Linked DNA regions of Nothobranchius furzeri. The protein of the gene in region 1 purifies or fractionates together with the protein of each later gene. This does not show direct contact. Links are inferred from orthologs where the notes say so. Each region holds a gene or a part of one and is shown in the gene's direction. Other genes may lie near its edges.

Region 1 (8,204 bases):
ACAAGCCGCCCATTGTTGTCTACCCCTGGATGAAGAAGGTACACGTCGCGCACGGTGAGAGCAGGGATGGAAGAGACACACTCACCCTGGTTTCTGCTTCTGTTCGAGCAATATTTATTCTGCTTTCGGTTTTTTCCCTTTCCTCTTTCGTCCATTTGTGAGGATCGTTTTTGTTGTCGAGTTATTTACGAGCTTGGTGAGACCAGGCGAGAATTACAGCCCCTATAAAGTTTTATGACCCTGCCACAGCCTTTGCGTGTGCGTGTGTGTGTGTGTGTGTGTGCGTGTGTGTGTGTGTGTGTGTGTGTGTGTGTGTGTGTGTGTGTGTGTGTGTGTGTGTGTGTGTGTGTGTGTGTGTTGCACAGCAATGCGGCTCAGAAAAGCTGCAAGTTAACGGTAACAATCGTTTTTTGGACCTCCTCTCGCCAACCAGGAACGCATTAAGACGCACTTAAAGAATATCTTATAATGTTTAGATAAGATTTGAAAAGAAATCTTTATAAATACGTAAATATATGTTTTAAAGAAATATGGCAACTAGAAAACAATATTTGGCCTCTAAGATATTTATTCTAAATACTTGTATTATTATTATTATTATTATTATTATTATTATTATTATTATTATTATTATTATTATTATTATTATTATTATTATTATTATTATTATATGTTTTGTTACAGTTAATCCGAACCACGTGGGCCCGGAGCCGAAGCGGTTGCGGACGGCCTACACGCGCCAGCAGGTTCTGGAGCTGGAGAAGGAGTTCCACTTCAGCCGTTACCTCACGCGCCGCCGCCGGGTGGAGGTGGCTCACGCGCTCTGCCTGTCCGAGCGTCAGGTGAAGGTGTGGTTCCAGAACCGGCGCATGCGCTGGAAGAAAGACAACAAGCTGCCGAACACCAAAGGAAGAAGCAAAAACAAGAAAACCACAGACAACAACAATAACAACGACAGCGTGAAGACCGCGATAAGCGTCTGAAACTCCCCAAAACAAGAGCAGAAAATGGAACTATCGCCGCAAAAACTCAGGTTGCGGAATTGATCCAAGGTGATTGAAGTCTTGAAGGACAATTCTAGGTGAAACCTCGCCGGATTGACCAAAATCTTTGTGAATTCTTTAATCTATTTCTTCTTTTTCACATTTTATTCTGAAGGATTTCAAACATTCCTAATTTACAGGTCATAGAGGCTGCAATCTTTTCTAATGAATGTATTTGAGTTGTAATAATCTTTTTTTCTAGGGTTGCAGACGATCTGTCACCTTTATAGTACAAAAACAACGCAGTTTCACTGATTTCTAAGGATAATGAGATGTCTTTTTGCCTAAACAGGGTTTCTTTCTACAGGGTAAACTTACAGGGTTTTATATTAGCTACCTAAACTAATTTATGAATATGCACATTACCAAAATGTTCCACAAACTGGCGCTTAAAGGCTTAAAAACAAACAGAAACCAGCAGCAGGAAGATCAAATCGCTCGCTGGCTGACTTAGTTGGATAAATACTGTTCTAGCTTTTTGTAGGAAAGTAGCCATATTGTCCTGTCCATCCCCAAAAAAAGTTTATTTTTTGTTGTATTTTTTAATTTTTTTGCTTTTGTGGGCACAAATTAGAAGTAGGCCAGCAGATCATGCACAACATTGATTCAGCTGATGTTCTCAGGGTGACAGGGTTTTATAAAAAGAACTTCCTTGACTGTTTGTTTATTAGCCCCTTATGTTAATGTGGCATACGAAGCATTGATTTTATTCTATTGAACCTTTACGTCAGTACTTATTTTGTATGATTTTAGAAACGTGTTTTATTCTTTTACCAATTGTCTTTGTTCTTTTTGAATCTGTGTTTATTTTTTGAAAAGAAAACATCATTTGATTTTTTATACGTTTAAATGTTTTGATAAAGTAGATAAAAAAGAAATAAAAAAAACTGAATCTGTGTGTGCAGGAGGATTTTTCCTTTATGTGTGTGTTTCATGCAGGGGGACCAACGGAAGTGACGTATGTCAACATGAAACTATCGTCTCAAACAACAAATCCAAAATCCAAAACCTTGCACTAAAAACATTCCACTGAATTAAAAATTATATAGAGAAATATATGCAATGATGTAGCTCTGTTAATTGAATTAAACGAATTAAACGTTAAAAATGTACAAATTTAAATGCTTTCCACGCGATATTTCTCCACTATTTAACCAATAAAGAATAAACTTCATGACTTGATATTAGTTTTTATACTCAATAAGTATCTATTTACTCTTAAAAATAAAAAAAATATTAAAGTACGAGCCTTTGATTTAGGCTGTTAACGATCTAATTTTTTTTAAGTTGCAGAAGGTCTTTGCTGAGTGTTGATTACCGGGACAAGAGGCGCCATTAATAGGCAGCTTCTGGTCGAGACGCGGTTCACACCAGCAGCTAGGTTCAAACCATCGACATATGCATATGGTTCAAACACTGGAGCATCACTAACAACAACTGGTGCAGCAAAATGTGGGACTTTTAAATACACACACATGCAGGCCATGTTTATTTAATTATTGTTACTCACACACAAAACGGTCTAATGTACCCACTAATTGGGTAAAATAGGGTTCGCATTTGCAGGTTTGTTCACCATCCTCCTTATGTAAAAACAGGAGCGCTCTCTACTGGTGGATTTGCCACTGCATACTGACAGTGAGGAGCAGATCAACAAAGTATTTTAAAAGTTTACCCCAAAATAAATAAATAAATAAATAAATAAATAAATAAATAAGGTAGCTACAAAGTGTTTGCAAATAGTGTCAGTGTGCTAAAAGGATTTAACAACCAAAGTTCAATTTCAATTAAGAGTTAAAAAAACCTTATAATGAATTGAATACATTTAAAAAAATAAATATGTTAATTAATGGGCCATTAGATCGACACCTTCATAATACTACAATTATAGTTATGAATACATAATTCAGAAGTGCCACTTTAAGTCTCTCTGTATATTGAAAACAATTGCAAATGGAAAGAAGACAGCCTTACACCTTACACTAACAAGGAAGATCTCGAGTCTGAAGAATGGTTGTCTAAAACTAAATATAAGTCTGCTTTAAGAGATTTAAGTGGGTTAACGTGGACTAATAGTTGTTATATCCCAAAATGTGTACTGTATACATATTTTGATTTAGAATTTTTGAAAAATTTCAAACGAATTTCTGCTTTTTAGCCCCCATTTGGTTTTTGTTGAGAAGCTTAGACACCAACATTTCTCAACTGAGGAGCAATAAAGAGGCTATTCTATTCTATTCTATTCTATTCTATTCTATTCTATTCTATTCTATTCTATTTGATTCGAGATCATACAGATGTGATGAGATTAAGATAAACGTTTTGCTTTTTGTTGTTTTACCACTGAATAACTACACATCGATCTCAGGAAACTTAAAATAAAATGTTGATTTTAAACGCGCAATTTAAATGCTCCCAAGCATAAAATTAAAGTAAATGTTTCTAAGGTTTGTGCGTAAAGTGGAACCAAACATCAGACTGCCTGTGCACCGGGGGACATCAAATGCGGGCGGAACCATAGAGAACAACACTTGTCCTTAACCTGACATGAAACACAAGTCGAGTAATAATCGCTGTCTGTAATTACAGTTTAGCAATAATAGTGTTATACAGCACCATGTCTCTGGCAGCGGAGGCTTTCGTGTCGCAGTTGGCAGGTAAAGTGTTTAATTCAGGCTCTTAATGATCGTCTAGGTTACCTTTAGCTCTGAGCTAATGGTTAGCATCTCAGAAAAGGGAGTTTACTCACGTGTATGTGACCTTTTAAAACAGAAAGCTAAGCTGGACATTTAACATAACCTATGCCTATAAACAGAAGTGGTGTCTGACAAGCTAGTAATTCCGGATAAATGAAGGCGATTTGTTGCAGCTAGCTGCTGCTAATCACAGACATTTATCAACTGATCATCATTAAGAGCAGGTTTTAGCAGTTTGCTGCTCTGGAGGTGATGCTAAAGAGGAAAATTGTGTAAATGTTTAATCGTTTTATTCCAAGCAATATATTTATTAAGTGGAATATAGTTTAAGAAATCTAGATAAAAGTTTAGTAAGAGGTTTGTTAGCAAAAACACATCATTTATATTTTTATTTAACCAGGAAGGACCCATTGAGATTAAAAAACGTAATTTTCAAGGGAGTCCTGGACCAGAAGGTTTCCTGTGATTGAGAGTTCAAATAATTTCATGCACTTGCTCTACATTAAATGGAATAACATTAAAAGAGGCACCAGGGGTCATTGGGCAAGCTGTGCAAGGGGAAACAGGAGGTGGTCCAACAGAAGTAGACATAAACCAGATGAGATCAAATGTTTGTGAAAGCAGTTTAAAACCTCAGTTCTATCATACACCTGGACAGAGTTGTTCCAAACAAATTTAGGATAACGTGAGAACCGTGTTGGCAGATAAGGACTTAAAGAGCAAATTGCAGGTTAGAGACTCCCATGAACCAATGTTTAGAGAAACATAATAGAAACTCGTTTTAAAAGTTTTTTTTTACACATACATGAATTATTTAGGCTTTTAGAGTCATTTTTGTGAGAAAGTTTTTTTTGTCAAACCAAGTGACGTCAGAGGAGGACTGTTAGCTTAATCCAGAGAAAAATATGGATTCTAATGCGGCTCTGACACAGAGGAAACTTTACATGTTTGTATTTCTACTTCTGATTGACCAAAACCATAAAGTTATGAGTTTGCTGCACGCCCCAGAGGGCAGAGACAAACCAGAGGGAGAAATCATTGGCCAGAGGAGAAGCAGCAGGTAACATCACAATATTGTACAGATTACTATCGTGTACCAGACAATTAAAATAGTATTGGTCAGTTAATATAATATAATACTAATGAGCGTCTGTCAGCGGTCTCATACTCGTTAATATCTGTTCACCTAACGTAGTTTAGTGCTTTAGAGAGACGGAGAGCTTCCGGTTCTGGAGCTCATGCGGGCTTCTGTGAGCTGGATCCAACCTAAACACAAGCAAGCAAGTCCAGTTGGTATTTTTAAAAGCTGCACATGATCCTCTCCTGGTTGTCCGGGCGGCGGTTCTGATCCGGTTCCGAGGTTCTCAGTTGTGGTGGATAAGTAATAGTCTGATTTGGCATTTTTGAAGAATAGTACATTTATTTCTTAGTTAGATAAACATCTGATTAAAAGTATTTTTCCTTCAAATTGACTTTAGCAACTTAAGTTTTCAAATGTGCATCACGGGTTGACCACAAACCACGTGAAGCTGAGATCTGGAGGTGGAACCAGGTTTGGTCACACAGCTGAACAATGTTTCCAACTACGGTACATCAGAAAACCCAAATCAGACTGACCCAGATAAAACCAAGGAAGTCACGTTTTAACTGTGCATCATGTCTGCACATGTTTGTTTGTGACTGACAGCTGCTGAGCCTTGGCCTGAAAATGCAACCCTGTACCAACCCCTGAAGGGTAAGACCGAGAACTGGAAGAACAATCCTAATTATTTATTTGCCAGTTCTCTAGGTGATCTCCTTCTTTCTTTGTTTATTTCTAAACAGAAGATCAGATCCTGCTCTCAGACCATGCGTCGTCTCTTGCTGTGCAGGTAGATTGTTTATGATTGTGCTCAAATGTCTGCATGTTTATTCTGTGTGGTCCTCTATTCCTGCCATAGTCTTACATTTATGTAAAGCAGCATACAATGATTTTATTCATTTAAACTGACAATTTATTCCATCTATAAAGGGATATATTATATAAAAATAAGTACATATTTTTAAAAACCAACAGGTTTTCAACTAAGCATCATTTGAACTTGATTTACAGTGAATTAGTTGTTTTATATCTTTTTAGTTTCCAGCCATTTTTGGAAGTTTTGTTTTTACATCTTCCCTCAGTGACCGTTCGTCTGGTTTCTCCTCTGCAGGCCTATCTCAGGATGTGCGGTCTACCTGTGCAGGTGCTTTGCAGAGTGAACTCAGAATTCATGTCGCCATCTGGTCAGTACACATGCTGTTCCATAGCCCTAATCCCCACACTTTGTTCTTTCAATCAAGCTTTTTATTTCCTTTTCCTGCAGGGAAAATTCCCTTCATCCATGTAGGGAACCAGGTGGTTTCAGAACTTGGTCCGATAGTGCAATTCACCAAAGCTAAGGTGATGCGACAGTTTCACAGAAACAGATCAACTCAAAGTGTGGATTTGATCGTTCTTATAAGGCTCGTTTTTTTCTTCCCAGGGTCACTCTCTGAGTGACGGCTTGGACGACGTTCAGAGAGCTGAGATGAAAGCTTACATGGAGCTTGTTAACAACATGCTGCTCACTGCCGAGGTACGACACAAATACGCATAGGAACAACACACGGTTGTTACCATAACAACTCCTCCACCTCTCTGCAGTTATACATCCAGTGGTGCGATGACGCTACAGCGGCAGAGGTGTGTATTCTCATTCTTTGAGTATTTTTTTTTTATTGTACTCTTTATCGTTTCATTGGTGTGTCTTTATTTTGAGTAGATCTCACGTCCCAGGTACAGCAGCCCTTACTCCTGGCCTCTCAGTAAAATCCTGGCCTATCAGAAGCAGTGGGAGGTGCGCAGGAAGATGAACGCCATCGGCTGGGGAGGGAAAACGCTTCAGCAGGTCAGTAAAAAATAAATCAGCCGATACATTGAGTATTTGTTTTGATGTCTGGCTCTCTTTTAGGTTTATGAAGATGTGAGTCAGTGCTGCCAGGCGCTCTCTCAGAGGCTGGGGATGCAACCGTACTTCTTCAACAAACAGTATGTATCCAGTAAACCTGATCGGTTCTGTAATCTGCTGGCATCGCTTGAGCACCACCTTGTGGATCATTGTTGTCACGGCGTCTTAAATTGAAGACATTCTCATTGAAAAGGTTAATTGTTTGTTGGGTGAATTTGGTCTGTAATGGTTTTGTAAATGGGGCGAACAAAATGAATAATACAATTTTTGAGTAAAGTATCTGAGTGTATGTGTGTGTGTGTGTGTGTGTGTGTGTGTGTGTGTGTGTGTGTGTGTTCTAGGCCCACAGAGCTGGATGCACTGGTGTTTGGTCACCTCTTCACCATACTGACCACCAGACTGACCAGCAGTGAGCTGGCAGAGCGGGTGAAGAGCTACAGCAACCTGCTGTCCTTCTGCAGACGCATCGAGCAGACTTACTTTGAAGACAAGAGCTCATGAAGGCCCGATAAATGACCTCGCCCTGTACATTCTGCATTTCCGTCTCTCATTCTCCTGACTGTAGCACACAGCCCCCTAAAACTGCCCATTTGAAATATTCTCTCCTTTTGCTTCCTGCCTGAATGTCGCATGCAGCTTGAGAGATGATAGTTATTTTAAGACATGAGAAAATGTTTTTTATTAAAGTCACTGCAGATAAAAGAAAGTCCACGAAATGACATTTATTGCCAATTAACAAGGTATATATGTCGCCTCTAATAACGAGTTCCAGAGAATCATCGAATGTAGAGCCGATGGGAGCAGATGTCGTAGTTTAGACTGATTGGGTTTTTGAGTTGAATGGATGCTCTGTGAAACAGTCATTTGCATATTTATTTACAGTCTACCTTTCCACCAGTTGCATTCTTAGGTTGCTGGAAGATTTTTTTTTTGAGCCACGTTTGGAACGGTAGGCGTATGAATTTCACAGCTGTGCAACACGACCAACTTTCAGAGGGCAGAACTCCACTTGACCCCAGTTTGAGGTCAAACCGTGCACATTTTATTTTTCTCCTGGGGTGCTTAGAAGCTTGTAAGAAATGCAGAACAGCGTTGGCAAACCCAGAGCTGCTTTTGTCTTCTATTGTACAAAGAAACTAAACGGGAACATAGTGATGATGGTGTGATTTAAATGTTTTTCCACTTTGTTTTCCTTATGTTAAAGTGCCTAAGGCAGATTTTCAGCTCAATAAACTTTTACTTTCCCCAATAAATGTATTTTTGTTTTACTTTGAAGCTCACGTTTTAATGTTATATTTCAACTTCAAAGGGGAGTGCAAACCAAAATTGAAAACAGCTGCAAAGATAAGTCCGTGAGGTCTATTTGTGGCTCCAGTGGCAGCTGTATCCACACTTGAATGTGTTCCTGCCTCCAGGTCTCATACAAGCTCATTGGTAACGTCCGATCACCTCTGGATGCCCTGCTGTTGACCAGGTTGTGTGTCTGTGTGTCAGAC
Region 2 (7,739 bases), on another chromosome or scaffold:
TTGCCAGTGATAGACCGTGAGGGTAACTTTAACCGTGCGGAGACGAAGAGGAGGCGAAAATTTGATATCAAGTTCAAAGAGAACGTGCGCTGCAGAACACTGGGGAGCCATAGGGGTTGTATGAACTAGTCGACTTCACTATAGTGACTTTTTATGCCTGTCATCGACTAGTCGCTGTCACGTGATAATGACCGGCAAGATGCAGCCCACGGAAAAGACAGCAGCCTGCTGTCAGCAGGTGACAAGCTCCTGCGCTCGGGGGGGCAACGCGCTGTGCCAGAGCGTCAGTACTGACACGCGATCGTTCATGTCGGTTCATTTCCTTTAATGTTTTCTGTCTTTTATTTGTGCCTGATGCGTTTCGCTGTGGAGCGGGGCGCATCACCTTGTCCTCCGGTGACGCACCGATCACTGATGCGGCCACCAAGCAGCGGCACTCCGCTGTTTTTGCGGTCGGTAGATCTTTAAGAACTGCAGCTCAAAGGTAACTCATAAGGTGAATATATATGAACCCAGGTAGCAGTTTCTCTTTAGGATTGAGAGGAGATGCAGGAAGATAATAAACAGGCAGGACAGAAAAATAGTCAAATAAAAACAAGTTAGTTTTTGTACCTGGTGGTTGCAACAAACAGACACCATTGAAGGTAATCAGAAGTGAGGAACAGAAAATGAAATAATTATTTTAATGTTTAGAGCAGCAGGAACTCCGAGAGGCTGCAGGCGCATCAGTGAGTTTGCGGCCGCTGTGCAGGGGGAGGGGGGAGAGGGCTGAAGCAGAAACTACCGTTGTTAAAAGAAATGTGTTTAACTTTGAAAATGTGGGTGCAATTTTAATTGTCAAAAACTCCAGCGAACCATTAGTTCATTTTGCTCAAATAGAAATAGAGGCCTGCCTCAAATTCTGGCCCTCCTTCCAATAAAGGCCTGGGGCTTGGTGAGCTTGAGTCAAATACAGGCCCGGGCCTGTATTAGAGGATTTACGGTATGTTAGGACTCCCTGTGGAATTGAAATTACGTAACCTGATTTTAAGAAACAGGATACAGGTCAACAGGGTGCACCCAAGAGATTTAAAAGGATGTACACTTTGGCCAAGTGATTAGAATATCGTATGTTAAATGTTTTTTGGTGTATTGAGTGTTTTTTTTTCTTTTCATTATTGTTAAACTGTGTTTTTAACTACTCAATTCAGTTAGTAAAATTTGGGTTGTTTAGAAAAAATCATCTTCTGGTTTTTGAGTCTGACTAAAACACACCACTGTGCTCCTATGTCCGAACCTACTGGTCCATCATCATAATTGGTAAATACAGAGGTGTTACACCAGTCTGTACCTGCGTAGGCGTACCTAACTTGCTTGTCTCCGCTTCAATCAGTCAGAATCTATTTCAGCGAGGCGCCGAAGCAGCAAACCTGTCACACTTAATGCTCACAAAGACCGACAGGCAAAGAAATTGTAATACAGCCCACATATCAAATTAAGCACAGCCAATTCAATCCCTCAAAGCTCACTTTTCTGCTGTATTTGATCAGAACGATCCTACACACTCAATTAAGTGTGATTTAGTTTTAATTGTAGGATTTACAGTGAAGCACGTACCACACATCCCACTCGTTAAACAGGTGCCCATTAGTGGAATTGTAACTTGATTTATCATACTCTCTTTATGCGTTTTCTATTGTTCTACGTAAGATTGTTTTTTATACTGTACCTGAAAAACAATGCAAGAAATGAATTACTAAACAGAACCAGGTGTGAAGTCTTTAACTGCAGAAACAATTAAACAACTCTTGGTGTTTGGGCTAAAGCCACTGTGTGCATTTTAGAACATCCCTAGGTCAAATTTAGGTGGAAAAATGCTTAATTTCTTCAAGAAGAAAGCATCAACACAGCCAGTCACGTGATCGTAAGGTTGCAGGTTCCATCCCAGCTCCAACCAGAAAGGGCTGCTGTTGTGTCCTTGGGCAAGACGCTTAACCTGCCTGTATCAAGTATTAGGAAGAAAAAAAACTTCACAAATCAGAAACAAATAATTTATCGTAAAATAAATTATTTCAAAAAGCATCAGGTATCAGGAAATAAACTTCAAACAAAAAAAACAACTATAATTAACTAAAACCCACCACGCTTCATAAAGTGTCAAATGAAAATAATAAATAAAACAATTAAAACATCTGTTTGACAAAAGCCTCAACTATTAGGAATAAATGTACCAATACATTAAAAAACATATCAAAATAATATGGGTCCAGGATAAAATCAGAGATCAAAAATACAGAATCAATTATGAAATGTTGTGTTTGTCCCGATACTTGAAGTTTCTCCATGATACCTGATGTCTCTTGTTCTGGTGCAGTTTAGCTTGATCTGCAACACGATTTCCTTTGTGCCTTTTCATATAAAGATCTAAAATGTTCTACAACGGACTTCGAGAGACTCTGAACAAATGTTTAAAATTAAATCTAAATATATTAACCAGTGTGTGAATGTGTGTGTGAATGGGTGCATGACCCTTGGGGGGGTTGTAGAACCCTAAGAAGGTGCTATACAAAAACAGGTTACTTACCATAAAATATAAAACCCAGGAATGTCAGTAGCATGGAAAGACAACGGGGGCTTAGCCCGCAGGGTTGTGGAATGGAACTGGCACGTACTGACAGCCAAAAGAATCAGGGGAGTGTCCAGGGGGTGGCCTGGGGTAGCAAATGCCACCCTTGGAATCTGATTGGCCACCCCAGGGGCCACCACACTGAATTCACTTTAAATTGGCTTTTCATTGTTCACAAAAGGCTTGGGGTAAAACAAAAAAATGAAATAAGCATAACCATTGGTGCCACCCATGTACAAAGTAGTGCCTCACCTGGGCCACCCCATTTTCAAAGATCTGGACACGCCACTGAAAAGGATGTGTTATAATTAGAGTTTGTAGAAATTTTTAAGTGCGCACCTGAACCTTATAGATATAGTTTGTGACACGATGAGAATTACTGCCTTGGGGTAATTTTTCGGGGGATCTGAAGCCCACCCTAAATAGGCACAATGATGTCCATTATAAAATTTGTCCACCAAGCACAGCTGATTGGGCGACGGTGGCACAGGAGTTAAGCGCTCGCCCCGTAACCGGAAGGTTGCAGGTTCGAGCCCCGCTCAGTCTCTCTCTGTCGTTGTGTCCTTGGGCAAGACACTTAACCCACGTTGCCTGCTGGTGGTGGTCGGAGGGACCGGTGGCGCCAGTGCTCGGCAGCCTCGCCTCTGTCAGTGCGCCCCAGGGCAGCTGTGGCTACATCGTAGCTCATCACCATCAGTGTGTGAATGTTTGTGTGAATGGGTGAATGACTGATTGTGTTGTAAAGCGCCTTGGGGGGTTCCAGGACTCTAGAAGGCGCTATATCAAATACAGGCCATTTACCATTTACCATTTTGTTTTGACAAAACAATGCAATTGAACAGTCATGTAAACTTAACGCACTGAAGTGACTATTTATAATCCCAAATCACACAGATTTTAAACACCAGGCGTATGGCCATTGAGTATCTAATATAAATATCTATAATTGTGCTGAAGGAAAATCCCCATTGGGTAACTGACCGTCTTCACGCTCTGTGATTGGCCAGTCATATAGGGCGCCTGCCCCTCCCTACACACAAAACTCTGCAGCCCCAGTCCGGCCCATGCATCCACACACACACACACACAGATGGTAACGGATCTCTCTGTGCTTGCATCTCTGTTGCTCACGTTTCTTCAGAACTCCTTAGGTTTTCTTCAGCTCACCTCTTTTTCGGTTTAATATTTAAAGTTACTTTTTCGTAACGTACGTGGTGCATTTGACAAGACAGAGCTGAAAACGGCTCGTGCTGAATCGCTCACTGCCTCCACTCGGGTTTCTCTCTCTCTCTCTCTCTCTCTCTCTCTCTCTCTCTCTCTCTCTCTCTCTCTCTCTCTCTGTGTCTGTCTGTCTGTCTGTCTGTCTCTCTCTTTATGTATTAATTCATGCATTTAAATATTAATGTTCTAATTTAATTGAAAAACTTGTTCTGTAACAGTTCCTTTACTATTGTGATAAAAAATATTTAATCTGAATTCTGAGGCTGCTCTGTAAATAGTTTTCAAATAAACAATACACATAGCAACTTTTGATCATTCCATATCAATGTCAGACTTAAAATAATGTATAGATGTAAACCACACCCACTTCCGGGTTAGGCCACGCCCACTCCGAGTACAGATACAGATAATTTAGATGGTTGAACAGTAGGGATGTGAATCTTACCCCCAAATTCCACTACCTCCGCTCCCCACCTTCCGCAGCCGCTCGCTTCCGAACTCAATTTTTACTGGTACCCGCTCTACAACGGCTCCGCTCCATTGTGGAGACCTGAGGTGCGCAAACAAGCATGCGCAGGATTTTCGAGATCCTGCGATACAGTCCGAGCAGTAAACGCGGAAGTTAGATCCAAACACCTGTTGTGTGGGAGAAGCATCTGCATGAGCTGTTTAATCTGCCCATCATTTGTGTTGAGAGATCAGCAGTGTTTGGATCAACAAAGTGTGTCTACTTTGATAGTGGAAACTGTATTCATAGCTTACTTTTGTGCATTTAAAGTTCAACCGCCACTGATAGTTGTTAAAAGTTGTTAAACCTGTGCATATGAATCAAAAAACACTTTTTGTTTATCGATTTATTGTTAAATAACGGAAGTTGTGCTTGCTCCCTTTCCTGTTGGGCGGTTGTGATTCCTGTCCATTGACTGCGGAGGTGCTCCGGCGTCCGGCAAAAATAGGATCGATTCTATTTTTGCCGGACGCCGGAACAGAGGGCGGCGCACTGCCGCAGCACGGCTGCAGTAGTGGAATAGCTCTGATTGACTACAACGGGACCGATTTTGCTGCGGAGTTCGTGGCGGAGCGGAGGTAGTGGAATTTGGGGGTTAGAGCAACTCACGATTTGATTTGATTCTGATTCTTGGGGTGCTGATTCGATTCAGAATTGGTTCTCGATTCTCAATTTAAATCGATTCACAGTCAGTATTAACAAAGAGTGTCAACTCCAGGATTAACTACTTTGTTGTACAAGTTAGTTAAAGCTATGGGACACTGGTCATGCTCCAAAAATGCAAATTTACAATGTAAAATAAAGTGATTCTAAAACTGTAAACAGAAGCAATCTTTTGACCAAAAGGCAACATTTATTTTTGCTTATCTTGTAAAATATAACAAATCTGTAGATCTCAAACCTGTAACATGCCAAATATTTGAGTTCTTGAAATCGATTCGGAACCTTTGTGAATCGATTCTGAATGTTTATAAATAAGAATCCCGATTCAGACTTGAATCGACTTTTTTTTCAGCACCTCTAATGAACAGATACAGATAGTGGTGTACTTGCTCATCCCTAGTATCTAATAGTTTCTACAGTACAGGACTGATCAGGCAAATGAAATCTTCCGACTGATTTCCCCACATGCAGCCATGCCGTAATCATAGAATCATTTCTGCAGGGTCTAGGGCAAATCCGTTTCAAAATGAAACTGGTGTAAGAATCGTGGAGTGATGCTTCAAGTTTTATTCTTGAAGTACTTCATGTTTTACTGTCAGGGAAAATATACGGAAAACAGGATTTTTGTTGTCTTCATGTTCACGAATCTTTCTCTGGGTGTTTGTTGTTTCTTTTTGCAGGTCTCGCAACACAACTCCAGTGTGTTCTGGCCTCCAGGCTCAGATTTTATCCTGCTACAAGGACAACAAGGAGCAGACTCTAAGGTGCTCAGACCTGGCTAAGGAGTACATGCAGTGTATACATGCTGCAAAGAAGGTAAGAGACTTTAGGTATCTGTAAGAACCTGATCATTCAGATAACATCTCCCCATCATTGAAGCCTTGAATTTACATTAAATGAACACCATTTGCTTCTAACTAGATTATCTTGGAACCAAAAGTTTAAAAACTAAATGAAAGTGCCTTTTTATATAGTCAAAGAACCACACTTTCTAGTGGAGGTGTTCTGATTTAGAGCAGCACATACCCTTTGTGTTCTTTTTTTGTGTCGACGTTAAGGGGCACAAGGCGGTAAAAAGTTATAATTGCTAGGATTTTGAGTGTTGCGTCTCAAGGTTTTTACACACAGAAATCCTGTTATTGAAAACAGATTTCAGAGCGAAAGTCTAAGTTCAAAAACTTAAGTTCTTCCACTCGACTTGAGTTGTTTCCCCACGACTTTAAACTGACAACAGTGTGGTTGCTTTAAAATAAGTTCACCTCGTCTCTACAGACGGGTGTTGGGGCTAATTTTAGGTTGTGTTTGACAAAAAATTAAAGCGTGGGATGAACAGAAAATATGATCACTCAAGATAACGATGAGTTTAAAGCAAGATGTTTTCCCAGATGGTGTCATTCGATGTTTTTCCGAATATTTTCCTCAGCAATGCAGTGGATATGTGTAACAGAAGAAAATCTAAAACTGGAATGTAGGAGCATTGCAATTTTCATTTCTTTATTTGTGTTAATTTAAACAGTTTGGCTCCAGGCTGTGGTCACTTAAAGAAGATCATGTTAGAAAGTGTATTTCTAAATCCAGTTTAATTTATATTTTATTACGTTTAATCTATTAAATCTGCATCTATTGGCTCAACTTTTAGTCACTGTCCGTTTTCGCAGCAGCAGATTAGTGTAATTGTTTTTTTGTCTGATTTGCTTCTCATATTTACTTCCGTGTGTCATTATTAAGCTCTGGAAAGTCATGCTTGTTTTGTGTTTGTTTCCTTTCAAATAAGTCATAGAACTCTTAAAAGTCACTTTTACTCTCAAGTCTTTTTTTTGTCTTAACTCTTTGTTCTTCAGGCTTCAGTGATCTTTTACTATTATGTATCACTGCTAAAAAAAACTACTTCTTTAAAACTAATGAGCTGACAGTGAAGTTACCTTAAGAACAAAAAGCAAGATTCAGGCCTAGTCCACACGTAGCCGGGGTTTTTTAAAAACGAATATCCGCCCCTCCAAAAACGTGCATCCACACCACCTCGTTTTAAAAACAAACTGTCCACACGTACCCGGATAAATATGTTGTTAAGGACATGCCAGACCTGTAGGCGGCAGTACTTCCCCCATTCTTAACCTCGTCCTTCGTCTGTGGTCTTCCGCGAGGAGCAATAATTCCGCTTGCAAAAACAAACAAGCAAAAAAGCGCTTGGACAATTGATGGATCGGGTAGTGACAGAGCGCAGCTCTGAGGGCTTCCATGATGCCGGCTAGTGTAAACACAGGTCGCACACGTGATGTCAGCATTTTTTTGTCGCGGAAAGTGACGTTGTGGACCTTAAAACTCCGGTTTTGTCCGTCCACACGCAGACACCCAAAACGGAGAAAACGCAGATCTTCACTTTGGCCGGAGTTTTTAAAAAGATCCGTTTTCGTGTGAAAAAAACTCCGTTTTCGTGTGGATGACAGGCCAAAACGTAGAAAAATATCTACGTTTTGGCAGATCCCCGGCTACGTGTGGACAGGGCCTCAAACTATACAAGTCTAGATTATTATAATTTTTTTATTTAGTTAAAAGAGAGCACGAATAACTTTTTTGTTTTGATGCTGAAAGCACAATTAGTGATGCACACTACTTTAAGAGATTAATGACCTGAATTATTTGATTTGATGTCAGTTAAATTGACTAAATTCTTAATCTATTATTGATTTTTTTTACCACAATTTTGATTCAAGCTGAGCTGTAGAGATTAATAACTGGTGT
Region 3 (7,739 bases), on another chromosome or scaffold:
CGCCACCAGAAGGCGCGGTTTAGGTGTTCCCTGAGCTGCTGCCACAAACTAGGGATTGTGATGAAAATGGAAGATCATCTCATGGTCACATGACGTGGCAGCTGTACCGTGACAAAATTCACTTTCGTCTCCCAGCAGAGGAAGTTTGGATTTAAGTAAACCATTTGAGCGTGTCGATGGACTTGGGGCTCAGGGATGATCTTGTAGGAGCTGGATTAGACTACGCTGCTAAGTTGTTTCGACGTGTTGTGGCTCAGTAGTTAGGAACAATAACATTATTTTTTTTATTATCTCTAATGGTTTCTGTTCAGGTGGAGTTGAACCAGCCACCCTCCATGTTGGATAAACCAAAAACGGATCCCAAAGCCAAGTCCCAGAAGAGTGTGAAGGAGGCAGCAGAGGCAAGTGGCCCAGAGTCCAGTCTGGTCCCACCACCGCCAGCTCAGAGCATACAGGGTAGGAGGTTCTCACCGTTTCTCAGCCGCTCCTGCAGAAGCTACCACAGATTAGCCGCTGAAGGAGAGCCAGCTGTGGAGCGCAATGAGCTTCATTTGGTGTTGCGTTTGGGCCAAGCGGAGTGAATAAACGCATACGAGATTTGATTATGGCGACGTTAAAACACGACAACAGGCTGGTTGGACTTCATGAATTACCTTGTAGATTTAAAACTACGCTGCCTAAAAGATGCTGCTTGTTCACAAGTGGTCAGAATAGCTGGTGTTGGGATCATTCTGGAAGTGACGAGTGTCAGGTAGTCTGAGGAGCCTGATGCTTGTTGGAATAATAATCCTCATTGTTAGTGATTCTGATCCACAGGTAGGATATGAGCTAGATGATTTAGATGATGAAAGAGTTTAGAGAGCGGTGCAGACCCTAAAGGACTCGTTGGTGACGGGAACAGACAGCAGGGTTGGTTCCAGGGTCAGACGGTGGATGAGCCGGAGACGAGGACAGAAATGGTAGAGAAGAGTAGTGCAGAACATGTGTGAGACAGCGGGGGGGGGGCACATGGGCGGTCAGTGACCTGTGATGTCAGGAGGTTATCTCTGAGCATGTGGGCGGGGCAAAAGAGCGCGGTGTAGGGTTGCAACAAACGATTATTTGGGTCATCGATTCGATTAATCAGATTAAACGGGAACATTTAACAATGGAACTTGATTAGATAACAGCTCAGTGGCGTTCAAAACAACACGCTGTCACCTAAATGTATCCTTAGTTAAAATTTAATTAGCATTTTCAGTAGCTAGCTACTGGAAACGCTAATAACATTTACTTTCTACTGCTAACATGTAATGGTGACACATGTACGGGTTGGCACTAATCCAGTTTAAATTGCGTTCACGGATAGATGCGTTTGTGAATTACATGCTACGGTGGCTTGCCATAACCCCGCAGCGGAGCAGACTCAAAGCAGCAACCAGAGGTTCTGCTCCCTGGTGCTGCAGAAAGCTAACAATAAACAGGATGGCGGGGACTTTTCTTCCGCTGGTAGAGTTTAGATGTTCTTAGTTTCACGACCATCGTGTTTATTTGGAACTTCCATTTTATTTATGAAGCAGATTCCCACACGGCCGAGGCCAACCACAGTGCTGCACAGTAAAAGAGCATAAAAATCCACACACGGGAAGAAAGTAATAAAAGTAGTACAGTGACTACTATAAAATCAATAAAAATAAAACAGAGACATGGTACAATGCTAACTCGGCTGAAGTAAAAGCCACGGAATAAAAATGAGTCTTCAGGCGTGATTTTAAATCGGAGAGAGAGGGGGCCATTCTCACTGCTAGAGGGAGTTGATTCCAGAGACGAGGCGCAAAGATTGAGAACGCGCGTTCTCCTTGCGTCCTCGCCCAAACACTTGGGACCAGGTACGTAGGGCAGAACCAGCTGAGTCAAGTACAGAGCAGCATAAAGACGGAGTGACTTAAAAACAAGAAGTAAAATTTTAAACTGGATGCAGTAACGCACCGGGAGCCAGTGCAGCTGGGCCAGAACAGGATTAATGTGCTCCCTCCTTCTGGTGTCCGTCAAAAGGCGGGCCGCCGCATTCTGCACCAGCTGTAGGCGCGCAACCGAGGAAGATGTAGATCCATAAAGAAGGGAATTTGCATAATCAAAGCCAGAGATCACAAATGTATGGATCACTGTGTGCCGGTCATGTCTAGTCAGGATGGATTTCATCTTTGGTAGCCGGCGAAACTGGAAAAAGCAGGATCTAACCACCTGGCTAACCTCACTTGATCTGCTACTCGCTAGCGTTAGCTAATCTACCCGTAGTTCCACTTTTAATCCTAGATTTTGGACCGTTTCTGCCTTTGTGTCTTTTCTGGTTTCTGTTTTCCTCCACAGCACCTGTTAGCACGTTGTGCACCAGTAAAAGGCATCTTCTTTACACGATAGCAAGCAACGTACCTTTGTTCAATAAAGTTCTGGGGGGGGGGGGGGGGGGGAGTAGCTTGAAAAGATGTCGCACGAGTGCTACGTGTAAAAATAGTTTAATGCACACAGATTTTTTTTTTCATCGCACCTGCGACATATATGTCCCCCTCGCTCTGATCTGCCTCGGCCTGCTCTGCTGCTGCATACAGATGATCGTTGCCAGCGCATTTGCAGCCGCGGTGTCCATTACTGAACAGAAGCAGCCGGAGCAGTCTTGCTTTTGGGACTCTCGGACTCTGATTTTGTATCGTGCTTTGCTGTGTCTGCCAGCACTGTGTGTGTGTGTGTGTGTGTGTCTGATTCTATCTGCCAATTGGACGCTCCCCCTAATGGCACGCGTGATTTTGAGCTGGCCAATCAACCGGCGGTGGGTTTGTCAGCCTTGTTCGGTTCCAGGCAGACCGCCTTGGGAAGAGGGGTTGTGTGCAGGAATGAGAACAGCCCTAACCCGGTCCAGGCGGGGTGGAGCTGATGCTAGTGTGTAAGGGCCATTAGTGTCTCATCAGGGACTGGGTGGGTCTGTCTTTACATAACTCAGTAAGCGCACACACCAACCCGCTGTGCCTGTAATGTGTGTGTTCATGCAGAAGCGTCAGCAGAGGCGACTCAGATCATCTCGGCCATCAGTGAGGTCCCATCAGTTCCTGCTACGTGTGACTCAGAGGCAGCTGCAGGTACGTTCTCCTCCCCTCTGGAAGCTCTGACCTGGTGCTGGCCTGTAGGCCTTGGGTTGGACCTACTGGTGTCTGAATAAAGTCCAGCCTCCTCCAGGCCCAGGGTTCTACCTAGCAGGGCATAAAGCCTAATCTGGTCTCCACCAGGTTCTAAATGGTTCCATCCCAGTGTAGAAAACCACCTTCAGAGTCACCGGGTGGTCACGTGATGTCCAGGTCGTCTGTGCACAGGAGACCGTGGTTATGGAGACAGGGTGTGCTTCAGCCATGCAGACGTTTGGGTCACATGATGGAGGTGATGGTGGCTCAGGGGTTAGGAGTTTGTCCTGTAACCAGTGGGTTGTCGGTTTGAACCCAGGCTCTGTCCAGGTCATTGTTTGTGGTTTTAGCAGACACGTTCGTCCAAAGCGACTTACAGCTGTGGCTACAGTGTAGATCACCACCATCAGTGTGAGTGTCTGTTTAAAAAACATGAACTAGGTTCATATGATGCTGCTTCGTGTGTGTGTGTGTGTGTGTGTGTGTGTGTGTGTGTGTGTCCTACAGACGAGTGTAAGGAGTGTCACAAACACGCTGATGTTTCAGAGACGGCAGCAGTCGCGTCAGCAGAGCCTCTAAAGGAACGTCCAGTTGATGAGGTCACTGCTAGACTGGTCCAGCAAGACCAGGAGGAAGAGAAGCTTCTGGCCTGTGAGCGGATAACCACACACACACACACACACGCACACACACACATTAATGAAGCTTCCCTGGTTTAGAAGCGTGGTAGTCTGCAGCATCGGGGGTTTATGCTTGAAGCTTTAAGAGGTTTCTGAGCCTGCTGTTGTTTTTGCAGCCCTTTCATCTCGTCTGGAGGACTCTCTAGCCTCCTCTGCTAAGGCCACGCTGCAGGCTATTGGAGCTCAGGAGGTGGCTCTGCAGGCTGTCACCCAGCACACACGCAAGCTGAAGGACGCCATGGAGGCAGAGGTGGGTCAACCTGAGGATACCTGTGGTTCTAGGTGTGTGTGTGTGTGTGTGTGTGTGCGCGCGCACGTATGTGTGTGTGCGCGCGCTCGCAGGATGACAAGTCGGGCTAGAGCAGAGGTGTCCTGTTGTCTTTAAGACAAAAGACAAAATGGTAAAGTTAACCGTGCCCAAGGGCAAAGAAAAATGTGTCTTCCTTCTATTGAAATGATGAAGAGGCAGCAGCTGTCGATCATCAGGAGGTGGACTCCAAACAGAACATGTACGATAACTCCTGAAGTGAGATTTACAAACGGAACAGGACGTTCCATCTGTGACGCCGGGCTCTTCCGCTGGTTGCTCTTCCTGTCCGCGGAGGACGGAGCGGTATGTGCAGCCAGGCGAGTGATGTTCGGAGGAGCTGTCTGATGGGTGAGTTTAGGCTGGGGTCCTCAACTAAACCTGAGTTTTCTCCAGCAGACACCGTGAGGGCAAGACGCTCTTCTAAAATACACTTTAAGTATTATTGTTTGTTGTAATTTATTAATATTTAAAACGGCTTTGTTTCTGGACCAGCTCTGCACCCTTACGGGGTCCAGGAGGGTGCGTGGGAGCTCGCCCGACTAATCTACGAGTTTTGCTGTTAGGTCTGTGTGACCGGTGTCGGAGCTTGCCGGCAGTAAGTCGGGCTCGTTTCCAGTGAGAGTTGGACTCTGTCAGGGCTGCCTTTTGTCACCGATTCTGTTCATAACTGTTATAGATGGGACTTCTAGGTGCAGCCAAGGTGTTGAGGCGATCCGTTTTGGTGGCCTGAGGATCGGGTTTCTGCTTTTGGCAGACGTGGTCCTGTTGGCTTCATCAGAACGTGATCTCCAGCTTTTGCTGAGCGGTTCTTAACTGAGTGTGAAGCAGCTGGGATGACAATCAGCTCCTCTAAATTCGAGACCATGGTCTTGAATCGGAAAAGGGTAGAATGACAGCAGCAGCTCAGGAAGTACAGCGGGTTGTCCAGTAATGGGAAGGTTGCGGGTTCAATCCCGGCTCCGACCAGAGAATGCTGCTGTTGTGTCCTCCTTGGGCAAGACACTTAACCCGCCTTGCCTACTGGTGGTGGTCGGAGGGGTTGGTGGCGCTAGTGCTCGGCAGTCTCGCCTCTGTCAGAGCGCCCCAGGGCAGCTGTGGCTACATTGTAGCTCACCCCCACCAGTGTGTGAATGTGTGTGTGACTGATTGTGTTGTGAAGCGCCTTGGGGGGTTGCAGAAACCTAAGTAGGTGCTATACAAATACAGACAATTTACCATTCTCCGGGTCGGGGATGAGGTCCAGCCCCAAGTGGAGGAGTTTAAGTATCTCAAGTTCACGAATGAGGGCAAACTGGATCAGGAGATCGATAGGTGGGTAGGTGCTGCATCTGCGGTGATGTGGGCATTGTACCGCTCTGTCATGGTGAAGAGAGAGCTGAGTCAGAAGGCAAATTTATCTCTATTTACTGGTCTTTCTACGTTCCTACACTCACCTATGGTCATGAGCTTTGGGTAGTGACCGAAAGAACAAAATGGTGGATACAAACAGCCGAAATGAGTTTCCTCCGCAGAGTGGCTGGGCTCTCGAGAGGAGTCAGTTGAGGTGGCTCGGGCATCTGGTCAGGACGCCTCCCTGGTGAGGTTTTCCGGGCACGTCCAACCGGGAGGAGACCTAAAGGTAGACCCAGGACACGGTGGAGGGACTATGTCTCTCACCTGGCCAGGGAACGCCTTGGGATTCTCCCGGAGGAGCTGGCCCAAGTGGCTGGGGAGAGGGAAGTCTGGGCCTCTCACCTTAGGGTACTGCCCCCGCGACCCGACTCTGGATAAGCGGATGAAAATGGATGGAAGAATGGATGTTTTCCATCTAAACTGTTTTGGTTGTAATTAAATGTGTTTGCAGAATGTAAACAATTATTTATATTTGGAACGTGGATTTTGCTGCTAAACTTCTAAGTCCCCCCCTTGGGGGGCATTAGGGCCCAAAGGTCTGACGGACTGGATGTGGCCCGCGGGCCGTCAGTTGAGGTTCATTGGGTTGCGGGCCAATCGTCTAGGTAGTGGGCCTGCTCTGGGTTGGATGAGGCTGTTCCACGATTGAGTTTCAGAGGCGATTAAACGTTTTCGTCCTTTTGACAAAACAAAAAGTTTTTCCATCAGTGTGTGGAGAGCATTTGAGGTAATGTGGCAAAAAATGTTCCAGGAAAACGTCTCGGTAGGACGGATGAATGGGTGTCTCCTAAATGATTTCACATTCCTCGTCCAGGCTCCATCTGATGAAAAGTCCACCCAGTGGAAGGAGCTAGAAGCTGCTTTAGCTGAAAGAACCGCTGCTGTAAAGGACGCCACGACCACACTCTCAAAAGCCAAGTAATACACACACACACACACACACACACACACACGCGTGACTCCACTAACCATAACCTAAACTAAAGGTTAGTTCATTCCAAACTTCCAAAGCCCGCATCACACGGTGCCATTTGCGGCCATCTTAGCCAGATCCCTCGTCGGGAGCATAATCAGGTAAAAAAAACGTGAACTTGAGGGTGATTTGCAGATTTGTGGTTGTCCAGTGTGACCGTCTCACGACCAAATCAGCCTCCGACAGTCTGACGCCAAAGCGAGGGTTTTAAAAACGCAGCTTGTTCTCGGAGTTGGGTCATGAGCCGACGTAAAAAAGTGCTCTTAACTTTCCAGCTTTGTTCTAGTCTGCTTAGTGACGTATGCTTTGGGAGGTGCGCTCACGACGGAGCGTGTCCTGAGGGACAGAGACGTGCGGTCCGCCTCACTGGAATCTTGTCGTACAGCGACAGGAACAATCCTGTACGACGGCCAAAACTCGCTGTGTGGTCCAGGCTTAAACCCTGGACCAGCAACATGTCCCCACAATGTGGAAATGTCCACATGTTAAAAGTCCAAATTAGGCCACTTAAACATATAAAGACAAGTACACACACACACACACTCTGATCTTGGTTCTTCAGGATTCTGTTCATGTCTTCCTAAAACCTGCTGGTTCTGTTCTGTGTCTCATTTCAGTGAAGCCCTGGAAGGTCTGAAGTCTGTGATCAACCAGGCTAAAGGACAGAAGGTGGCGGCTGCTCGTCCTCTGATCTTAGCTGCGGAGGAGAATCTCCACCAGATGGTGGTGGACCTGGACAAAGTGGTCTCCAAGGTAGGAGCTGAGGCGTTAACACTTTTGTTGTTCTGGAGCTTTAATCAGATCAAGAAGAACTTAAGGACAGAGTCACCCTGGGACTGGAAGCCGGTTCTGAATTGCTCCCTCGTCATGTTGCGTGTGAAATGTTGCTGTTGGACCTTCTCTACACACACATGAATAACGCTAAGTTGTTGTGGGTCTCCAGGGATTAGCTGGAAGCACAAGCAAAGCCGTTTGGGCCAGAATGATCTTTGGAACCAGTCAGAACCAAGAGGAAGTGAGCTAGTGTTAGCATCTTCAGCTAGCCGTAGAGGAGAGCAGTGAGTTTGAAGCTGGATGGTAGAGAAGCTTGTTTGGTCAAAGTTCTGCCTGGATGAGTTTTTAATGATGTCATTTTAACCCGAATCACTTCCTCTGTGAGGCGATGCTAGCAGCTAACTCAGACCCTGCTATCAGGAGCCGAAGGTCGCGCGCTGGCTCACGGTGATGGTTCT

The links.
Region 2: the proteins of mtx2 (region 1) and chchd6a purify together in Homo sapiens (co-immunoprecipitation; 3 studies listed by BioGRID and IntAct, counting the BioPlex papers as one, with this or other methods). This does not show direct contact. The link is inferred for Nothobranchius furzeri from reciprocal best matches to the Homo sapiens genes MTX2 and CHCHD6.
Region 3: the proteins of mtx2 (region 1) and immt purify together in Homo sapiens (co-immunoprecipitation; 5 studies listed by BioGRID and IntAct, counting the BioPlex papers as one, with this or other methods). This does not show direct contact. The link is inferred for Nothobranchius furzeri from reciprocal best matches to the Homo sapiens genes MTX2 and IMMT.

What each region holds. Positions count from the first base shown.
Region 1 is NC_091752.1:28,394,389-28,402,592, forward strand, and holds mtx2 (metaxin-2), read left to right. Parts: upstream 1-3,518; 5' UTR 3,519-3,660; coding exon 3,661-3,700; intron 3,701-5,426; coding exon 5,427-5,474; intron 5,475-5,563; coding exon 5,564-5,610; intron 5,611-5,931; coding exon 5,932-6,004; intron 6,005-6,084; coding exon 6,085-6,161; intron 6,162-6,243; coding exon 6,244-6,336; intron 6,337-6,404; coding exon 6,405-6,443; intron 6,444-6,522; coding exon 6,523-6,648; intron 6,649-6,711; coding exon 6,712-6,788; intron 6,789-7,049; coding exon 7,050-7,209; 3' UTR 7,210-7,961; downstream 7,962-8,204. Other genes in the region: homeobox protein Hox-D4b, read left to right, coding at 1-54, 685-983. UniProt on the Homo sapiens protein: Involved in transport of proteins into the mitochondrion.
Region 2 is NC_091755.1:50,940,709-50,948,447, reverse strand, and holds part of chchd6a (MICOS complex subunit mic25a), read left to right. Parts: intron 1-5,677; coding exon 5,678-5,813; intron 5,814-7,739. UniProt on the Homo sapiens protein: Component of the MICOS complex, a large protein complex of the mitochondrial inner membrane that plays crucial roles in the maintenance of crista junctions, inner membrane architecture, and formation of contact sites to the outer membrane.
Region 3 is NC_091741.1:108,911,613-108,919,351, forward strand, and holds part of immt (MICOS complex subunit MIC60), read left to right. Parts: intron 1-311; coding exon 312-456; intron 457-3,026; coding exon 3,027-3,113; intron 3,114-3,659; coding exon 3,660-3,803; intron 3,804-3,948; coding exon 3,949-4,082; intron 4,083-6,348; coding exon 6,349-6,452; intron 6,453-7,124; coding exon 7,125-7,260; intron 7,261-7,739. UniProt on the Homo sapiens protein: Component of the MICOS complex, a large protein complex of the mitochondrial inner membrane that plays crucial roles in the maintenance of crista junctions, inner membrane architecture, and formation of contact sites to the outer membrane.